Linked DNA regions of Callithrix jacchus. The protein of the gene in region 1 binds, or shares a complex with, the protein of each later gene. Links are inferred from orthologs where the notes say so. Each region holds a gene or a part of one and is shown in the gene's direction. Other genes may lie near its edges.

The links. Proteins that work in one complex are often made in the same cells at the same time.
Region 2: the proteins of AGT (region 1) and ANPEP are in contact, whole or in part, in a crystal structure (PDB 4FYS), measured with the Homo sapiens proteins. The link is inferred for Callithrix jacchus from reciprocal best matches to the Homo sapiens genes AGT and ANPEP. Residues at the interface, in NP_001369746.2 of Homo sapiens: Val27, Tyr28, Ile29, His30, Pro31, Phe32; in NP_001141.2 of Homo sapiens: Gln211, Gln213, Ala351, Gly352, Ala353, Met354, Glu355, Arg381, Val385, His388, Glu389, His392, Glu411, Glu418, Asn438, Arg442, Phe472, Tyr477, Ile864, Phe896, Ser897, Asn900, Gln903, Ala904, Arg907.
Region 3: the proteins of AGT (region 1) and DPP3 are in contact, whole or in part, in a crystal structure (PDB 5E2Q), measured with the Homo sapiens proteins. The link is inferred for Callithrix jacchus from reciprocal best matches to the Homo sapiens genes AGT and DPP3. Residues at the interface, in NP_001369746.2 of Homo sapiens: Asp25, Arg26, Val27, Tyr28, Ile29, His30, Pro31, Phe32; in NP_005691.2 of Homo sapiens: Phe109, Glu316, Tyr318, Glu329, Phe381, Gly385, Ile386, Pro387, Ala388, Gly389, Ile390, Asn391, Ile392, Asn394, Arg399, Val412, Leu413, Val415, Ala416, Phe443, Val447, His450, His455, Glu507, Glu508, Asn545, Arg548, Leu552, Glu555, Phe556.
Region 4: the proteins of AGT (region 1) and REN are in contact, whole or in part, in a crystal structure (PDB 6I3F), measured with the Homo sapiens proteins. The link is inferred for Callithrix jacchus from reciprocal best matches to the Homo sapiens genes AGT and REN. Residues at the interface, in NP_001369746.2 of Homo sapiens: Asp25, Tyr28, Ile29, His30, Pro31, Phe32, His33, Leu34, Val35, Ile36, His37, Asn38, Glu39, Lys91, Leu92, Ala95, Met96, Met99, Leu100, Phe103, Arg107, Arg148, Ala151, Ile152, Gly154, Gln353, Gln354, Asn355, Asn358, Glu391; in NP_000528.1 of Homo sapiens: Tyr81, Met82, Thr84, Gln85, Val102, Asp104, Gly106, Ser107, Asn109, Ser118, Arg119, Leu120, Tyr121, Thr122, Val125, Tyr126, Leu147, Arg148, Tyr149, Ser150, Pro181, Ala182, Leu183, Pro184, Met186, Leu187, Ala188, Glu189, Phe190, Val193.

The regions. Positions count from the first base shown.
Region 1 is NC_133520.1:19,931,553-19,937,067, forward strand, and holds the start of AGT (angiotensinogen), read left to right. Parts: upstream 1-1,698; 5' UTR 1,699-1,735; intron 1,736-5,077; 5' UTR 5,078-5,190; coding exon 5,191-5,515. UniProt on the Homo sapiens protein: Essential component of the renin-angiotensin system (RAS), a potent regulator of blood pressure, body fluid and electrolyte homeostasis.
Region 2 is NC_133507.1:18,951,047-18,955,083, reverse strand, and holds the end of ANPEP (aminopeptidase N), read left to right. Parts: coding exon 1-116; intron 117-515; coding exon 516-597; intron 598-2,226; coding exon 2,227-2,379; 3' UTR 2,380-2,751; downstream 2,752-4,037. UniProt on the Homo sapiens protein: Broad specificity aminopeptidase which plays a role in the final digestion of peptides generated from hydrolysis of proteins by gastric and pancreatic proteases.
Region 3 is NC_133511.1:123,577,705-123,582,386, forward strand, and holds part of DPP3 (dipeptidyl peptidase 3), read left to right. Parts: intron 1-936; coding exon 937-1,099; intron 1,100-4,682. UniProt on the Homo sapiens protein: Cleaves and degrades bioactive peptides, including angiotensin, Leu-enkephalin and Met-enkephalin. Also cleaves Arg-Arg-beta-naphthylamide (in vitro).
Region 4 is NC_133520.1:31,434,995-31,439,917, reverse strand, and holds part of REN (renin), read left to right. Parts: intron 1-163; coding exon 164-282; intron 283-1,250; coding exon 1,251-1,447; intron 1,448-4,071; coding exon 4,072-4,080; intron 4,081-4,645; coding exon 4,646-4,765; intron 4,766-4,923. UniProt on the Homo sapiens protein: Renin is a highly specific endopeptidase, whose only known function is to generate angiotensin I from angiotensinogen in the plasma, initiating a cascade of reactions that produce an elevation of blood pressure and increased sodium retention by the kidney.

The DNA.
Region 1 (5,515 bases):
TACTCACATTTGTGAAACCAAATGAGTGGAGGATTTTCCAATACTGACCAATTCTCCAACTCTTCAGACACCCACTGGGTTTTCTACAGTTCAATTCCAATATTAGTTGCCTGGGGTTAGTGCAGTCCCTGCGGGTCAAGGGCTCAGTACAAGACTGCTCCCAACTTCAGACATCAATTTTGAGTAGTTGGTCCCCAGGTTACCCACACTTCTGTCTGGCTTGGCTACAAATCAGAGGTTTCCATGACCGCTTCCTCATGTTTTATTAGAATGGCTCACAAAAATCAAGGAAACTTTTTATTTACATTTACTGGTTTATTATAAGGAATACAAATGAACAGCCAGTAGAAGACACACACAGCCTGAGGTCCACAAGGGTCCTTTTTAAGAGACAGGGTCTCACTTTGTCATCTAGGCTGGAGTGCAGTGGCATGAGCATAGCTCACTACAGCCTCAAACTTCTAGGCTCAAGTGATCCTCCTGCCCCAGCCTCCCAAGCAGCTAGGACAATCAGTGCATGCCATTGCATCCAGCTAGTTTTATTTTTTATACAGATGGGGGTCTTGCTATGTTGCCTAGGCTGGTCTCAAACTCCTGGCCTCAAGTGATCTTTCTGCCTTGGTTTTCCAAAGTACTTGGATTACAAATGTGGACCACCGCACCTGGCCCCTGATCTCAGTGAGGAGCAGGTTTCTCCATGTGTGTCAACCCCAGCTCCTTGAGAGTGTGGCCTAAAGTCCTTGGTCCCGGAGGCTCATCAGGAAATGTGACAGTGACTGCAGAACCTCATGGCCACTGTGGCCAGGTGGCAGCAGCCGTTTGGCCAGGTCTCTCCTCCTCCAGCCTCCTGTCCAGCACCCAGGCCCGCCTGTATTCCCCCACGCACCCCACCCACGCTCTCCCTCCTGTTGGTGAGTGCCACTCAAGCCTCTGCCTCAGAAAAGCCCTTCTGTAGCTTCCGAGTCAGACCAACTTGTTCTCCAGGTGCAGCTCCAGCAACATCTCTTGCTGGCCCCTCCCCAGCTCTCACCAGTGAAGGCTTCCTGCATCCTGAAGGCGTTTTGTTGGTGTCTTTTAATCTGGCTGTGCTATTGTTGGTGTTTAACAGTCTTCCAGCTATGTTGGAAGCTTCTAGAAGGCACTTTTCACTTGCTTGCGTGTTTTTCCCAGTGTCTATTTGAGGCCTTTGCATGGGGTAGGCGTCAAATGGCTGGAATAGCTCAAGGTCATACAACCCATGAACGAGCAGTGGGGTCAGAAGTGGCCCCCATGGTGCCTGAGCACAACTCTCCCTGCCCTTTGCCCTTGGCACTCTGGTCTGCATGTCCCTGTGGCCTCTCAGGGGCGCGTCTCTTAGGGCTGGGTCAGAAGGCCTGGGCGGCTGTCCTCAGGCTGTCACACACCTAGGGAAATGCTCCCATTTCTGGTAACCTTGGCCTCCACTCCTGCAAACTTCGGTAAATGTGTAACTCGACCCTGTACTAGCTCACTCTGTTCAGCAGTGAAACTGCGCATCGATCACTAAGGCTTCCTGGAAGAGGTCCCGGTGTGAGCGCCGCTTCCTGGCGTCTGTCCTTGCGGCCAGCCTGTGGTCTGGCCAAATGATGTAACCCCCACTCCAGCCTGTGCACAGACAGCTTGGGAACGGCTCCATCCCCACCCCTCAGATATAAATAGGGCCTCGTGGCCCAGCCAGGAGAAGAAGCTGCCCTTGTTCCAGAGACTACAGCAGAAGGTAAGCCAGGGGCCCTTCTCAGCTCCTCGGCCTTGTCTCTCTCAGATGTAACTGAGTGGCAGGCCAGAAGTCCGGCGGGGGGCACGGGTGATGCCTGAAGCACCTCCCCCCCCTCCATAAGACCAGTCACCAGGACATGGGCTTCCCCTACTCAGTGCCCACCCTGGGTCTTATTGGGGAGCTGCTCCTCCTTAGCAATAGGACAAGAAGGTCAGGTCTTCCTGCTTCCACTGAGAAGAGCTGGGGTCCTCAGGGACGGAGCAGACTGGCACAGGAGCAGAGTTACCATGCCCAAGAGTCCACTGGCTCCTCTTGCCATCAGAAGGAACATCAGGGCTTGTGCAGGAAACGGGGCTGGAGGGAAGGGCCAGGCTCGGTCAGCCCCCAGCTGGGATCCCCAGAGTGGTCACTGTACCCCTCCCTTGAGACTGCCTGACTGTGTGTCATCAGGTTGGTCGCAGTCTCCGTCAACCTAGATTTGCCCGCCTGTAAAATGGGACTAATCATGATGCCCGGGCGCCCTCCCTAGGGGCTCTGGTAGAGCTGAAGAGAGCAAATATAGTGTGAAAGTGCTTTCTAAACTTTGGGATAAGCTAAAAGGCAGATTCTAATTTTATTCGAGGACGGCAAAGATTGGTGCTTAAGCTTGTGGATGACAGAGTCAGGGGGCCTGGGTCAGAGTCCTAGTTCTGTCTCTTCCCAGCTGTGTGACTTTGAACAGCTGGGAAGAGACTTTGACCTCTCTTCCTCTGCAAAACAGCATGAAGCAATGCATTAACTACTTCTCCAGGATGTACTAAGTCCCAGGGACCATCCCGGGAATGTGGGCTGTATCAGTAAACATGACAGTGAGAACCCTGCTCCCCCGGCTCATTCACATCAGAGCAAAGACGCTGGACAGAATAAGTGCGTAACTACACGGTACAGAGGGTTATCAAAAGAGAAAAGGGGAGCAGGATGAGAGAGCTGAGAGTGCCCGGCGTGGTGGGGAAAGCTGCAGGGTGAAATACAGCATCAAGGAAACCTCAGGGAAGGTGAGGACTGTGTTGAGGTCAGAGGGGTTGATATAAGAACAGTGCCCCGGAAATGACAGGCACCACGGGAGGGGGAGCTGCCATCCTCACCTTTAGCATTCAGCCCGGGAGAAGTGCAGGGACATAGAAGGGGTGGGAGCTGGTGAAGGGGCAGGGGCAGGAGGGGAGAAGGCGGAGGGGCACTCAGGGCGAGGGTGTCAGGCCCTTGGCTCCCGGGACTGGGCTGCGTGCAGACTTGGAACCAGCCTAGGGAGCAGCCACAGATCACAACTGAGAACAAACAGCAGTCTCTGCCTCAAAAATGGCCCATGGAATTGCATCTCGGGAGACGGTGCCTGCTCAGGAGCAGCACAGTGAGTGGCGGCACTGACCCGCACCATCCAAACCCTGGAACCCTCGGTGCTTGTCAGGCAGGACTTCCCAGCAGTCGGTTCCCACAGCTTTCCCCTGATGATCCGATTTGATGGGACTGTCTAGATTAGGTGTGAACTGACAACTGAGGCTTCTCTGCACAGAAAGGCCTGCTCGGAACAGGGAGAGTTTTCTGTTCTGTTTTTCCATGTCGCATGGCTCTTCCCGAGAACAGTGGATGGAGTCAAATACATGGGGATGGGGGTGAGATGATAGCTGAGGTCAGAAGTCAAAGTCTCTTTGGCAACTGAATGACTGGAGCAGACTAAAACACATCAGGCATGTCAGCAGATGCACCATGTTGAAGGCAGGTGCTGGTTACCAGTCTGGGTGAGGGAAGCCAGCGGCCAGTGTAAGAAGAATGACTGGATGTGCTTAGGTAAAGCAGAAAAATCTAGGCATCACGGTGACCTTGAGTCAGTGATGACATGCCACAGCTCCAAGGAAGCCCGGCCTGGCCCTGTGGGGACAGAAAAGGCTAACAAGTGATGATATTGCAGCACCCCCCCACACAAGAAATGAGTGAGACGTGGTACAAATTGTTAGAACTGGTTTTTGTTTGTTTGTTTTGAGACAGAGTCTTGCTTTGTCCCCCAGGTGGGAGTGCAGCAGCGCGTCTCAGCTCACTGCATCCTCCACCTCCTGGGTTCAAGTGAGTCTTCTGCCTCAGCCTCCTGAGTAGCTGGGACTACAGGCATGTGCCACCACTCTCAGCTAATTTTTTGTAATTTTTTTTAGTAGAGATGAGGTGTCACCGTGTTAGCCAGGATGGTCTCAATCATCTGACCTTGTGATCTGCCCACCTCAGCCTCCCAAAGTGCTGGGATTACAGGTGTGAGCCACCGCACCTGGCCAAACTGTTAGAATTGAAGGAATCAACAGAATAAACGTTCATCCCTTTGATTGAGAATAGTCAGATGAAACGAATTAGCAGGGTCAACCCAAGAACCTTCTCTTCCGGGATCTCGGGTTGCTTTTATTTGCAGCAGCTGAGGCTGAAGCACAGCACTGAGGTCTTTGAGAGAACACAGTGCCGGAGCTCCCCTGGCCCCCTCTGGGGACCCATGTCTAAGGCAGGGATTCTAAACCCTGGTTATGTATCAGAGTCACCCGAGATTTTTGTTGTTGGTGGTGGTGGTTTTTTTTTTTAATCTACACCTTGTTCCAGCACAGACTAAGGAATCTATCAGCGAGCAGGCCAGGCTGGGTATGCATGCCTTTGGGGCTCTGCAGGGCATAGCGCTGTGCAGGGATGGTTGAAAGCTGGTTTGGGGGTCGACACAGGTGGGAAATGCTTGGGCTTTGGGCTGAACCAGCTCAATCCTGGCTGTATATGAGGACCACAGGGAGATGACAAAACCATTCCCACGCCTCACCCTAGGGCCATTTAATGAGCATCTCAGGGAGTTGGTGGGCCTCCACCTACTGACTGGCACACACTTGCCTCTCTGGGATAGAACTTACAGCTACAGGCACGAGCATGTCTTGGTCTGCTTGGGCTGCCGTAAGTACCACAGGCTGGGAGCCTTCAACAACAGAAATGTGTTATCTCACAGCTCCGGTGGCCGGAAACCCAGGATCAAGCTGTCCACAGAGCTGCTTTCCTCTGAGGCCTACCTCCTTGGCCTGTAGACGGCCGTCTTCTCTCCGTCTCCTCACACGGTCCTCCCTCTGTGTGTGTCTGTGTCCTCATCTCCCCCTCTTATGGGGACACAGTCATATTAGATCAGGGCCCACCCTCGTGACCTTATTTTAACTTAATCATCTCTTTAAAGATCCTGTCTCCAAATATGATGACATTTGGAGGTCCTGAGGTTGAGGACTTCAACACGTGCATTGGCTCATGGAGATATTTTCCATGGAGTTTTGAATCCATTTCTTCTCTTCTCTTTTGTAGACACAAATGGATTTATTCTGCACTAAATGGTGGCAGGAAATACTGAGACAACGAAAAGTCTGGTTAGATGGCACTCAATGGTCAGTTAATAATCACCTTTCACTCTTTGCAAAATGATATTTCAGGGTATGCAGAAGCGAGTGCCCCAGTCTGAGATGCCTCCTGCCAGCATGAGCCTGAGGGTCACCATCATCTGCCTCCTGGCCTGGGCTGGCCTGGCCGCAGGTGACCGGGTGTACATACACCCCTTCCACCTCGTCATCCACAATGAGAGTACCTGTGAGGAGCTGGCGAAGGCCAATGCAGGGAAGCCCGAAGATCCCACCTTCACACCTGCTCTGATCCAGGCCAAGTCGCTCCCTGTGGATGAGAAGGCCCTGCAGGACCAGCTTGTGCTTGTTGCTGCAAAACTCAACGCTGAAGACAAGTTGAGGGCTG
Region 2 (4,037 bases), on another chromosome or scaffold:
GACTTAATCCGGAAGCAGGACGCCACCTCCACCATCATCAGCATTGCCAACAACGTCGTTGGGCAACCTCTGGTCTGGGACTTTGTCCAGAGCAACTGGAAGAAGCTCTTTAACGAGTGAGTCTGTGGAGAGGGTGTCAGGCACAGTGAGTGCCGAGGCTGGGGCCCAAGGGGTGGCCTGTGTGCATGGGACATGCTGGGGACACTGTCCAGGAGTGGACAAAAATCAGCCAAGCCTGGGGGCTAGGGTGGGGACAGGAATGAAAGACAAGCTGGGGTTTCCCACTTGGAAGGAAAACGTGGCCGGTGGGAGTATTCTCTGGAAGAGAGCGGAGCTCAGAGGTGGGCAGTCAGGTCTATTCATGCTGTGACTCCCCTGTGTCCTGGTATCCTGGAGGGACCTCGCAGGGCGTGTCGTTTCATCTCTTCTAAGATCATGGCTCCCTCCCCAGTAGGTGTGAGGAGCCCCTGTAGGTCCTGGCCTCCCTCACGGTCCACCTCTCTCCCTCCCTGCAGTTACGGTGGTGGCTCTTTCTCCTTCTCCAACCTCATCCAGGGAGTGACGCGACGCTTCTCCACTGAGTATGAGCTGCAGCAGGTAAGAAGCCATTCCCAGCCCTGGGCTCCGTCGGCTTCCTTCCCAGGCCAGAGAGGTCCTGCATTCTTCCCCCACTGTGGGCCTGAGGGAGCACGGGCTCCCCGCTGCCAGGCCTGCCTCATTTACAGAGGAAGCTGAGTAGCCAGACTATGGAAATGTTAACAGTTCGATACAAAAAAATCATCTTGGGATTTTTATATAGGCACAAAAGGAAAGAGTGGTATAATAAACCTCCATGTGTCCATTACCCACGTTCAACAGTGACCAGCATTTTGCCAGTACTCTTTCTGGGCAGTCAATTTTAAAGCAAATCACTGACGTTACCTAATTTTACCTCTAAATAATTTATTCATATGGAAAATAAAGGCATTTTTTTTTTTTTTTTTTAGACTAAGTCTCGCTCTGTCACCCAGGCTGGAGTGCAGAGTGCAATCTGGGCTCACTGCATTCTTGCCTCCCAGGTTCAAGAGATTCTCCTGCTTCAGCCTCCCAAGTAGCTGGGATTACTGAGATGGTGCCACTGCACTCCAGCCTGTGCAGCAGAGCAAGACCCTGTCTCAAAAAACCAAACCAAACAAAAATCACTACTGTTTAATTCCAGAACACTTTTATTACTCTAAAAAGAAATCTTGTGGCCGGGCACGGTGGCTCATGCCTGTAATCCCAGCACTTTGGGAGGCCGAGGCGGGTGGATCACGAGGTCAAGAGATCAAGACCATCCTGGTCAACATGGTGAAACGCCGTCTCTACTAAAAATACAAAAATTAGCTGGGCATGGTGGTGCGTGCCTGTAGTCCCAGCTACTCGGGAGGCTGAGGCAGGAGAATTGCTTGAACCCAGAAGGTGGAGGTTGCGGTGAGCCGAGATCGCGCCGTTGCACTCCAGCCTGGGCAACAAGAGCGAAACTCCGTCTCAAAAAAAAAAAAAAGAAACCTTGTACTCACTAGCAGTCACTCTTCACCACTAATTTTTTTTCTTTTTCTTTGCACATCATACAATCAATGCTTCAAAATTCACCATTGATTTTTTTGTGTATTCTAGTGTATAGGAATACACCTGATTTTGTATCCTGCAACCTTGTAGAGATAGTTAGTTCTAATAGTTTTTTTTTTTAATGGATTGCTTTTGTATCCTACAACCTTGCAGAAATCATTAGTTCTAATAGTTTTTTTTTTAATGGATTCCTTAAAATTTTATATATGCAAACATGTCATCTACACGTAGTTTTACTTCTTCCCTTCTGGATCCTTTTATTGAAGCAACTGGATCATTTGTGGTTTAGAAATTTCCATATTTTCGATTTGGCTGGTTGCTTCCATGTGGCATCTGTTTCATTAGCTCCTCGTTACTCTCTTGATGAGATTGATATAATTAAATATTAAACATGAAGGCCAGAATCCTTCCTGAGCCAGGTTTTGCCAGGGCCTGTCATTTTGCAACCTCTGTGTTAACAAGGACTTTGCCCGGGAGCAAGGTGGACGCCTTCCCTATCCCTGGAACAGGGTATGGTGTGGTTCCCATCTCTGAGGACTCTCATGTGGGAGTGGGAAGCCAGAGACCTGAGAGAGCCCCTCCTCAAGGCTGTATTGGGACCCAGCCCGGGGCTGAGAATCTTTGTTTTTCTGGCAGTTGGAGCAGTTCAAGAAGAACAACGAGGATGTAGGCTTCGGCTCAGGCACCCGGGCGCTGGAGCAGGCCCTGGAGAAGACAAGAGCCAACATCAAGTGGGTGACGGAGAACAAGGAGGCGGTGCTCCGGTGGTTCACAGAAAACAGCAAATAGTCTCCAGACCTCACAGCTACCTGGCCCCATGCATGGGACTCATGGCATCTAGCCCATGTTCTCTCTGCCTGTGAGCCAGTCTAGTTGCTGATGATGAGGCTGTCCGAGCACCTCCCAGTCCCTGCCCCTTGTGCCAACCCTGCCCCAGGCCTGGCATGATGCCTGTTGCCCAGGACCCCGGGGCTGATCTCAGGGAAGCCCCGCTCCAGGGCCAGATGAGCAGGAGCTCTTGGTGGACAATGGACGGCCTGGGGAGGCCGCCCTGTACCCCCTCAAACCTTTCCCAAAAGACCCCAAATTGGAGGAATCACCAGGGCAGCAGATCTTTTTATTTTTTCTAAGAGAAAATGTAAATAAAGGATTTCTAGATTAGTTTCGAGACTTAGGACTAAATTAAAGCAGGAGTGGGTCAGCACAGTGGCTGGGGAGGCTGGGTGGAGGGAAGCTGGGACCCCCGCCCCAGCACAGGAGGGGACACGCGCCCACTGGCTGTGCAGTGGTCCGTGCCAGTGCCTCCGTGCCTGCCTGTAGGGCTGCAGGCTCCTTTCCATGACACCGACTGAGCTAGCCCAAAGCGTGCAGGGCTCCTTTAATCCCTGTTCTGATTGATGGCAGCTAGAGATTTCAGGTGGTGGGAAGGCATCACAGGTGGAGGGGGGGCAGTGTGGACCCAGTGCTCCCACAGTGAGCCGGGAGAAGGGCCCGGCAGAGCACAGAGAGTGCTCTCCAGGAAGCACGGTCCTCAACAGGAGGCAAGGGCGCAGGGTGCTGGCCATGCCCCTCTTCCTGCAGCACGGGAACACCTGGGACGCTGCAGGAACAGGTCAGTGCAGTAAAGGCAGCGAGCGTGCAGTCCCAGACCTGGTGATGCCACTCACTGGCCAACGGCACCAACTGCCTCTTCAGGCGCCGTGGTGGGAGGGTGGAGTGGGGGAGTGGGTACCAATGCGTAAAAGGGTTGTTGTCATGTCTTTTTTTTTTTGAGACGGAATCTCACTCTGTCACCCAGGCTGGAGTGCAGTGGCTCAATCTCGGCTCATTGCAGCCTCCGCCTCCTGGGTTCAAGTAGTTTTCCTGCTTCAGCCTCCTGAGTAGCTGGGATTACAGGCGCACGCGACCATGCCAGCTAATTTTTGTATTTTTAGTAGAGACGGGGTTTCCCCATGTTTGTCAGGCTGGTCTCGAATTCCTGACCTCGTGATCCACGTGGCCTCCCAAAGTGCTGGGATTACAGGTGTGAGCCACCACAGGGTTGTTTAGCACACAGGGAGGGGCTGGGCTGAGGAGCACGGAAGCCATGGGGGGTGGGGACAGCTTTGCCAGTTTCATAAAGGAGGGTCTGTGCCCTCCACATCGCCTGGGGCAGAAGGCGGTCAGAGCCAACTCTGAGAAGGCCTGGGACCCAAGCAGCTCCATGCACACATTGGCCCCAGTGGGCATTTCTTGACAAATGGAGGCAGACTGTGGCAGGCTCCCTTCAGCCTCTGCCCCACAACGCCCAGTGGAACATCCAAGGCTGAGGGGAGGGACAGAAGGTGAGAACAGCCGGACGGGTAGCTGGGAATCACCTCCAAAGGACACCTAGGCCAGCTCCGCAGGCTGGAATCCTGGAATCCAGTAGGCCTGGTGTCAGTTTCTTAGACAGAGGACCCACATAC
Region 3 (4,682 bases), on another chromosome or scaffold:
TGTGCTCATCACTGATCTGCGTTTCCCACTCGTTCAGCACAGTAACACTGAGGGAGAGCAGAGCTATTCCTGTTTAGAGATAACAGCTCAGAGTGGTTTCGTGACTTGTCCAAGGTTACACCGCCTGTAAGTGACAGGGCCCAGCACTTTGCAGAGTGTCGTAGTCCGTTTTGTGCTGTTGTAACACAAAAAAATACCAGAGGCTGGGTGATTTATAAGGAACAGAAATGTATTTCTGACAGTTCTAGAGGTGGGGAAGTCCACGATCAAGGCACCAGCTAGTTTTCTTGTCTGGTGAAGGCTGCTCTCCCCTTCTATCCAGGATGATACCTCGTTGCCAAAATCTTTGGAGGAGAGGAATGGGAGGAATGCTATGGCCTCACAGAGTGGAAGGCAAAATGGCAATAGGGCCAAACGGGCATGAAGCCTGTTTTCCTTATTCTTTTTTTCTTTTCTTTTTATTTAGAGATGAGACAAGGTCTCACTATGTGGTCCAGGCTGGTCTCAAACTCCTGAGCTCAAGCAGTCCTCTCACCTCAGCCTCCATAAGTACCAGGATCGCAGGCATGAGCCACCATAGCCAGCCTTTTTCTTTTTTCTTTTCTTTTTTTTTTTTTAATAGAGATAGGGTCTTTCCATGTTGCCCAGGCTGGTCTCAAACTCCTGGGCTCACTGTTCCCCCACCTCTGCCTCCCAAAGTACTAAGATTACAGGTGTGAGCTGCCACACTAAGCCTGAAGCCTCTTTTATAAGGGCCTTAATCCCATTCATGAGGAAGAAGCCTTAATGGTTAGGTTGAAACTTAACCATAAGTTTCAACACCAGAATTTTGGAGGGGACACCTTGAAACCATAGCACAGACTGTCCAGGGCTGAGCACAATCAGCTATGGCCTGTGGCAGAGCCCATCCTAGACACTTACTCCATCCTCCCACAGGTGCTGAAGTCCACAGGGGATGTGGCTGGAGGCCGGGCCCTGTATGAGGGGTATGCAGCGGTCACTGATGCGCCCCCCGAGTGCTTCCTCACCCTCCGGGACACAGTATTGCTGCGTAAGGAATCTCGGAAGCTCATCGTTCAGCCCAACACTCGCCTTGAAGGTAATGGACTCTTGAGCTCCTTTCATGGGGACCACACGGGGCCCTATGGGGAGCATGAAGAACCCACCCAGGGGCTCATGGAGAGCAGCCAGCATGGTCCTTTCCTTTCTGTCCCACCTCCAGGGTCCTTCCCATGCCAAACCTCAGGCCCCAATCTTGGTTTCTGTCACTTCACCAACCCCCAACAAACACAAGGTCATACAGGTTGTAAGACAGTGACAGAAGATCTGAAGAAGACCACCAGAGCAGAGGATAGCAGAACATGCAGACGGGGAAGCCAGGCATTCGTACCAAAGAATTAGACCTGTTGGGTACCCAGGCTAGGGGTCAGGTCAGGAGGGAGCTGGGACCCAGCAAGCCTAGTGAAACCCAGGGGACACTGTGACTCAGTCACATCCGGGATGGTGATCAACAGCTGCATCATCCCTCTTCCTTCTCAAGCGACAGCACCAGAGCCTAGCCCTGGCTTCGTGGCACTTGTACCCTTCATATTCAAACGTCCTCGGGCCCCAGCACCTTACTGCCTTCACTTTCCTCTCACCCCTTGACTCATCTTTCCTGATACTTGTCACTTGAGACACCTAAGACAATGTGATGTTATGGAGTGGTTACAGCCCCAGCTTCAGAACTGCCCTGTGACCTTGGCCTAGTCACCTGGCCTTTCTAGACTTCGGTGTCTTCATTCATAAAGCCAGTGTGGATTGCTTGCTGATATTATAGTGAACCTCGATTCCTTCCTGTGGTTTCTAAGTGCTTTCTGGGGATTCACCTTTTAAACCCTCACAATAGCCCAATAAGGTAGGCATTTTTGTTATCTCCATTTTACAGGTAAGGAAACTGAGGCCTAGAGAGTAATTTGCACAAGGATTATTCCTTTTTAGTAGAGGAGCCAAGAATCAGATTAAGAGTGGCTGAGTCGGCCAGGCATGGTGGCTGACGCCTATAATCCAAGCACTTTGGAGGCCAAGGCAGGCGGATCACCTGAGGTCAGGAGTTCAAGACCAGCCTGACCAACATGGTGAAACCCCGTCTTTATTTAAAAAAAAACAAAAAAGAAAAGAAAATAAAAAGAGTGGTTCAGTCAGGTGTGGTGTCCCCTGCCTGTAGTCCCAGCTACTTGAAAAGGTGAGGTGGGAGGATCACTTGAGCCCAGGAGTTCAAGGCTGCAGTGAGCTATGGTTGTACCATTGTGCTCCAGCCTGGGTGACAGAGCAAGACCTCAACTCTGAAAAAAAAGCATTGTCATGGGCAGTTATGAGAGTTTAATAGAATAATATTTGTAGAACGTCATTACCTACTATTGGTGAGGAAAAAGCATTTATTTATTTTTGTTTGTTTGTTTGTTTTGAGATGGAGTCTCACTCTGTCACTCAGGCTGGAGTGTAGTGGTGCAATCTCAGCTCACTGCAACCTCTGCCTCCTGGATTCAAATGATTGGCCTGCCTCCTGAGTAGCTGGGATTACAGGCACCTGCCACCACACCTGGCTAATTTTTGTATTTTTTTTTTGAGACGGAGTTTCACTCTTGTTACCCAGGCTGGAGTGCAATGGCACAATCTCGGCTCACGGCAACCTCCACCTCCTGGGTTCAGGCAATTCTCCTGCCTCAGCCTCCCGAGTAGCTGGGACTACAGGCACGCACCACCATGCCCAGCTAATTTTTTTGTATTTTTAGTAGAGACGGGGTTTCACCTTCTTGACCAGGATGGTCTCGATCTCTTGACCTCGTGATCCACCTGCCTCGGCCTCCCAAAGTGCTGGGATTACAGGTGTGAGCCACCGCGCCTGGCCAATTTTTGTATTTTTTTTAGTAGAGACAGGGTTTTGCTATGTTGGCTAGGCTAGTCTCGAACTCCTGACCTCAAGTGATCTGCCCACCTTGGCATCCCAAAGTGCTAAGAATACAGGCGTAAGCCAGCACACTTGGCCTTATTTATTTTTATTTATTTATTTTTTTTTTTGAGACAGGGTCTCACTCTATCACCCAGGTTGGAGTACAGTGGTGCGACCTTGACTCACTGCAGACCTTGACTCTGCTTCCCAGGCTCAAGTGATTCTCCAGCCTCAGCCTCCCGAGTAGCTGGGACTACACAGCCACCTAAGTTTTATATTTTTTGTAGAGATGGGGTTTCTCTATGTTAGCCAGGCTGATCTCAAACTCCTGAGCTCAAAGTGATTCACCCTCCTTAGCCTCCCAAAGTGCTGGGATTACAGGCATGAGCCACCATGCCCAGGGGAAAAAGCATTTATTAGGATGCTTGACTTGGCGCTGTGGCTCACGCCTGTAATCCCAGCACTTTGGGAGGCCGAGGCGGGAGAATTGTGAGGTCGGGAGATCAAGACCATCCTGGCCAACATGGTGAAACCCCATCTCTACTAAAAATACAAAAATTAGCTGGGCATGGTGATCTGTACCTATAATCCCAGCTACTTAGAAAACAGAGGCAGGAGAACCACTTGAACCAGGGAGTCAGAGGTTGGAGTGAGCTGAGATTGCGCCACTGCACTCCAGCCTGGTGACAAAGCGAGACTCCCTCTCAAAAAAAAAAAAAAGGCTCATTCTAGATGCTTTTCCATGCCCTCAAGAAGCTTACGGGATTTGGCCCCAGCCCTTGCCAGCCTCACTGCCTCTTCCCCGGCTCCCTGTCCTCCAGGCTCCTGACCCTTCTGTTTCTTCTACCCCCTGAGCTCGCTCCACTCCTATAGCCTTTGAATAGACTGTTCTCGCTGCTTGGCATGATCTTCCTCCAGATCTTTGCCTGTCTGGTTCTTTTTTTTTTGAGACCAAATCTAACTCTATTGCCCAGACTGGAGTGCAATGGCACAATCTCCACTCACTACAACCTCTGCCTCCCAGGTTCAAGTGATTCTCCTGCCTCAGCCTCCCGAGTAGCTGGGATTACAGGCATGCACCACCACGCCTGGCTAATTTAGTATTTTTAGAAGAGATGGGGTTTCACCATGTTGGCCAGGCTGGTCTCAAACTCCTGACCTTGTGATCCACCTGCCTCGCCCTCCCAAAAGTGCTGGGATTACAGGCGTGAGCCACTGCGCCCAGCTGCCTGTCTGGTTCTTTTTGTCCTTCAGGTCCTTGTAAAATGGCACCTTGTGAGAGAGGTTGTCTCTGACCCCTCAACCTAAAGTACCTGCTTCAGTCCCTCTCTGTTCTGCCACCCAGCTTCATTTTCTTCATGTGCCCATCACACTTGCCCATTTTCTTGCTGGTCACATCTCATGATGGCAGGAGCAGCATACCCCAGTGCCTCATGTACAACCTGGCACACTGGAGCTGCTCAGTAACTGTTAAATGAGGCCAGGCCTGGTGGCTCATGCCTGTAATCCCAGCACTTTGGGAGGCTGAGGCAGGTGTTCAAGACCAGCCTGACCAACATGGCAAAACCCTGTCTCTATTAAAAAAAAAAAAAAAAAGATTCGGCCAGGCGCAGTGGCTCAAGCCTGTAATCCCAGCACTTTGGGAGGCCGAAGCAGGTGGATCACGAGGTCAAGAGATCAAGACCATCCTGGTCAACATGGTGAAACCCCGTCTCTACTAAAAATACAAAAAATTAGCTGGGCATGGTGG
Region 4 (4,923 bases), about 12 Mb from region 1:
GATTGATGAAGCACATAGTCCAAGCCCCCTGACCTAGGGCCACTCATCCCTTCATCTAAGCTAAGTCCTAAGCCACACCAGCCATACCCACAATGCACCCTGCCTCTGAGTCCCCCTGTCTGGGCCACTCTTGGACAAACCCGAGCCTGCGTTCCCCTGCCAGTGTATCACAAGCTCTTCGATGCTTCGGATTCCTCCAGCTATAAGCACAATGGGACGGAACTTACCCTCCGCTATTCAACAGGAACAGTCAGTGGCTTTCTGAGCCAGGACGTCATCACTGTAAGTGGGGCCGCCATAGGTCATCTGCCCCCTACCCCTTCTGTTCCCAGGCCTCTCCTGACCCTCCAGGGCCCACACCTGGGGGAAGGTGCACTGCAGCCCACTTGAAGCCTGGGGAGCTAAGGAACACCGTGCTCTGCCGCATCTGACTGGAGCTGCAAAATAGCAGTACCTATGGGGGAGCAAGCCTGGGCTGCGGGCTCACCGTTGGGTGACTTATGGAGGCTTTTGCATCTAACTTAACTTTAATCTAACGCAGGGCTTGTCCTGAGCCCCACGGCTGCAGTCAAGTCACTTGTCCAAGTTCACCAGCTCTGACTGGGCTCTTAGCTACACCTTAGACTGAAATCCAGGGGCAGAGGCAGGGGCAGGGTGAGTTTTAGGGTCTGGCATAGGTTTTAAGGTTGCACTTGAGGTTGACCTTGGGAATTAGGTCAAGACCTGCTTTTCTTTTTCATTTGGCCCATGTCTGACCCTTTCCTCATGCTGGAGTTTCTCAGCCCCTGCTCTGTCACTTAGGGGAGGGGTACACATGGGACCTGAGAGGAAATCCGGGTGATTCCTGCCTCCTTCCCTTTTTCTGTGAACTCAGGTATAAAGGAGGAAGAAGGGCAAGCTTGGTTGTGCTGGAGAAAGTCTTCGCCCATGATAAGGGAGAATGCCAAGACCCAGTACGGCCGGGCATGAAAGCTAGACCACTGGGGAAGGGGAGGGGAGATTTGGCAGCTTTACCACCCTCTCAACCTTTGCTGTCCAGTCCCTGGTCAACTCCAGCTCTCTCTGGGTTCCGCAGCAGAGATGTGTATTGGCACAGAGTGTGTGCGTGCAGAGTCTAGGAAATACTCTTATCCTGATTTCTGTACCCTGGAGCATGTGTGCCCCTGGGATCCCTAGTGTAGAAGCCCAGACCAGACTCTGGCCAAGGAGTGGGCAGTGGGCTTGGTCTCCTCTGGTCCTTCCTCCCACAGGTGGGTGGAATCACGGTGACGCAGACGTTTGGAGAGGTCACGGAGATGCCCGCCTTACCCTTCATGCTGGCCGAGTTCGATGGGGTTGTGGGCATGGGCTTCAGTGAACAGGCCATTGGCAAGGTTACTCCTCTCTTCGACAACATCATCTCCCAAGGGCTGCTAAAAGAGGACGTCTTCTCTTTCTACTACAACAGGTGGGGACCGGGACCCCAGGGACTCCAGGGACACCAGGGGCTGAGGTGGGGGAGGAGAGGGAAGAAGAGCTGGGGAGTGAAAAGGGAGCCTGGGCCAGAATTGTTTGTGAGTAGGTGACAGCCAGTCAGTATCTAGAGCTGCATTAGCAAATATGGAAGCCACGACTGAAACGTGAATTTATTAGGTACAGTTAAGCATCAATTAAGCATTCAACAGGTGCCTCTTAGTTGCACTAGCCACATGTCAAATGCTTGGCAGCCATGGTGGCTGGTAACTACGGTCTTGGACGATGCAGATAGAGAACATTCCCAGCATGGCAGGACATTCTATTTATTTATTTATTTTTTGAGATGGAGTTTCGCTCTTGTTACCCAGGCTGGAGTGCAATGGTGCGATCTCGGCTCACCGCAACCTCCGCCTCCTGGGTTGAGGCAATTCTCCTGCCTCAGCCTCCTGAGTAGCTGGGATTACAGGCACACACCACCATGCCAGCTAATGTTTTGTATCTTTAGTAGAGACGGGGTTTCACCATGTTGACCAGGATGGTCTCGATCTCTTGACCTCGTGATCCACCTGCCTCTGCCTCCCAAAGTGCTGGGATTACAGGCTTGAACCGGGCCGGCAGGACATTCTAATAGACGGTACCACTCTGGAGGAAGAGGAGATGCCAGGTGGGGGTGATGGAAAATAAGGTGTTTCTGTGACCTGGAACCCTGCCTGTGAGGGCCATGGCTCCTCCCACACAGAGACAGCCCACTTCAGTCATCCATTAGATCCCTCATTTGCTTGTTTGCTCACTCACCAGTTCAGTAAATGCTGTGTGCCAAGCCCTGTGGTAGGCTCTGGGGGTACAGCAGTGAACATAGTGATCAAGGCAGAATCCGTACTCCTCTACCCACATAGCGCTTACAGGCTAATGAGGAAGACAAGACATATTCCAACGTAATGAGTGTCACAGGCAGGCAGCGAGTGTGCTGCTGAAAACCATGGATGCTTTTCAGTTCTAGGCTGAGCTTATATGCAGCTCAGCCAGCCTTGGGGAAGCTGTTGTCAGCTCTTGCACAGGGTTGGGTTTTACTCCAAACTGCTGGGTTTAGGCAGATGGCATGAGTTGGAGATAAGAGGGGCTGGGAGCAGTGGCTCACGATTGAATCCCAGCACTTTGGGGAGGCCAAGGTGAGAGGATCACTTGACCCCAGGAGTTAAGGCTGCAGTGAGCAGTGATTGTGCCACTGCACTCCAGCTAAGGCAACAGAGTGAGCTCCAATCTCAAAAAAAAAAAAAATCACAAGGGTGAGAACACAAGGCCAGTGGCAAAAAGAATAGAGGAGAGGAGGTCAGGCTCAGTGGCTCATTCCTGTAATCCCAGCACTTTGGGAGGCTGAGGTGGGTGGATCACAAGTTCGGGAGTTTGAGAGCAGCCTGGCCAATATGGTGAAGCCCCATCTCTACTGAAAATACAAAAATTAGCCAAGTGTGGTCGCACACATCTGTAGTCCCAGCTACTCAGGAGGCTGAGGCAGAAGAATCGCTTGAGGTGAGGCAGAGGTTGCAGTGAGCTGAGATCACACCACGGTGCTCCAGCCTGGGCAACAGAGTGAGGCTCCATCTCAAAAAAAAAAAAAAAAAAGAATAGCAGAGAGGACTGGAGTCCAGAGACATCTCAGAGTGAATGGAGAGGAGTCTCTGGTTTAGTGATGGAAAGGGAGGCCTTGAGAAAAAGCCAATTGGTGGCTCTGCAGTTGGGGTGGTCTTCAGAAGAGCGTTTTAGAGGAGGTGGGGACACGGCCAGATGGCAAGCAGTTAAGAGGCAGATGTGGGTGTCAGGAAGTGGAGGTCATGAGATGTAGGCTGCCCTGGGAAATTCAACAGTGAAGGGAATGGGGGTGGTGTGTGGGGTGAGATCCAGAGCAGGAGAGGAAGGGTGGGTGTTTGAAAATGCTAGAGGACGCTCGAGTGATGCCCGTAGGTGGAGGAAGAAGCCAATGGAAAGAAAGAGATAAAAAATGTAGAAAGAGGAGGAGCTAAGTGGGGGCACCAGAATTGGAGGTCATGGAAGAGAGGAGGATCCAGCAGACAGGAAGAAGCCAGGCTTTCAGAGGAGAGGGCCGGCCTCTTCCTTCATCTTGGGATGGGAAGGAGGGAACACCTGGAGAGATCCTAAAGTGTTGGGAGAGGAGCAGGAGGGAAGTTGTGCTGGCACATATGCATCGTTCCGAATTTGTAGAAACACAAGCAGTCTGCAGTTGCACAAAATAACATATGGACACCTACGCACCCATGCACACATTGTGCATGTGTGAATTCTAGTATGAATTCTGGAAAAATACATCCCACACACATGCATGCCCTGGAGAACAGGCCTATAGTAGTCCCTGAGCCAAGTGCAACGTGGAGGAAAGGAAGACGAGGGGAATCAGCTCCAGACTGGCACCAGGGGTCTGGCTCCAGCGCCACACTTGTTCACTCATGGCCTTGGTAACTTCAGGCAGGAGACTTCACCTCTTGGTGACTCCATTGCCTGGAGAGCAAAGAGAGTACATGACACCCACCCTGCCAAACAGCAGGGCTGATGAGGCTTGCATAAAATGAAGCGTCCTTTCCGCTGTCTCTTTCTCTGCAGAGATTCCGAGTAAGGAGAAAGAATCCCCACATGGCTGTGACCTTCCAGTATTCCCTGAGAACCTGACCTAGAATCGCACACACCACTGGCCCACAGCTCGAATCAGCAAGCCCAGCCTCCACTAGATCCTGAAGTTCTCTGTCCCTCCTCCCAGCTCTCTCCATACCCCCCACCCATCCCACACCCAACATCCTCCCCAGGGTCCCCTCCCATGCACTGCTCAATCAGCAGCAACCCAACCCCCGAGCGAGGGGCGTCCATTTGTGTCTTGTTCAATCTGCTCGCTCTCCTTGGACCTGCACCTTTTCTGTGACCTCTTTGGGGATGCTTTTTGGGGCACAGCTGGACTACCCTGGAACACCCTCTGGTTGGGCTTGGGGAGGGGCAAGATAGGCAGAGAAGCAGTAGGGCCTGCGTGCTCCCCAGCAGCAGTCCGCGCTGGCTGGCTGTCACATATGCCTCTGCCCTAGAGCCCTCTGTCCTGCCCTGCACCCTTGCCCAACTCTCCCCGATTGCCTGAGTCCCTGGGTCCTGGAAGTTATGGGTTTCCAAGAGTTTCTGATCTTTCTTTTAGGAATTCCCAGTCGCTGGGAGGACAGATTGTGCTGGGAGGCAGTGACCCACAGCATTATGAAGGGAATTTCCACTATATCAACCTCATCAGGACTGGCCTCTGGCAGATTCCAATGAAGGGGTTAGAAATCCTCAACACTCCCCAGGCTCCAAAAATTGCTGTTATCACTGGGGTTGGGGTGGGTGGGGAAGGGGGATCCTGCCCTCTTTCCGATGCAGCCACTTCTTAAGCACAGCCACCATTTACTCTCTGCCTGCTCTGTCCAGCCTGGGGAACAG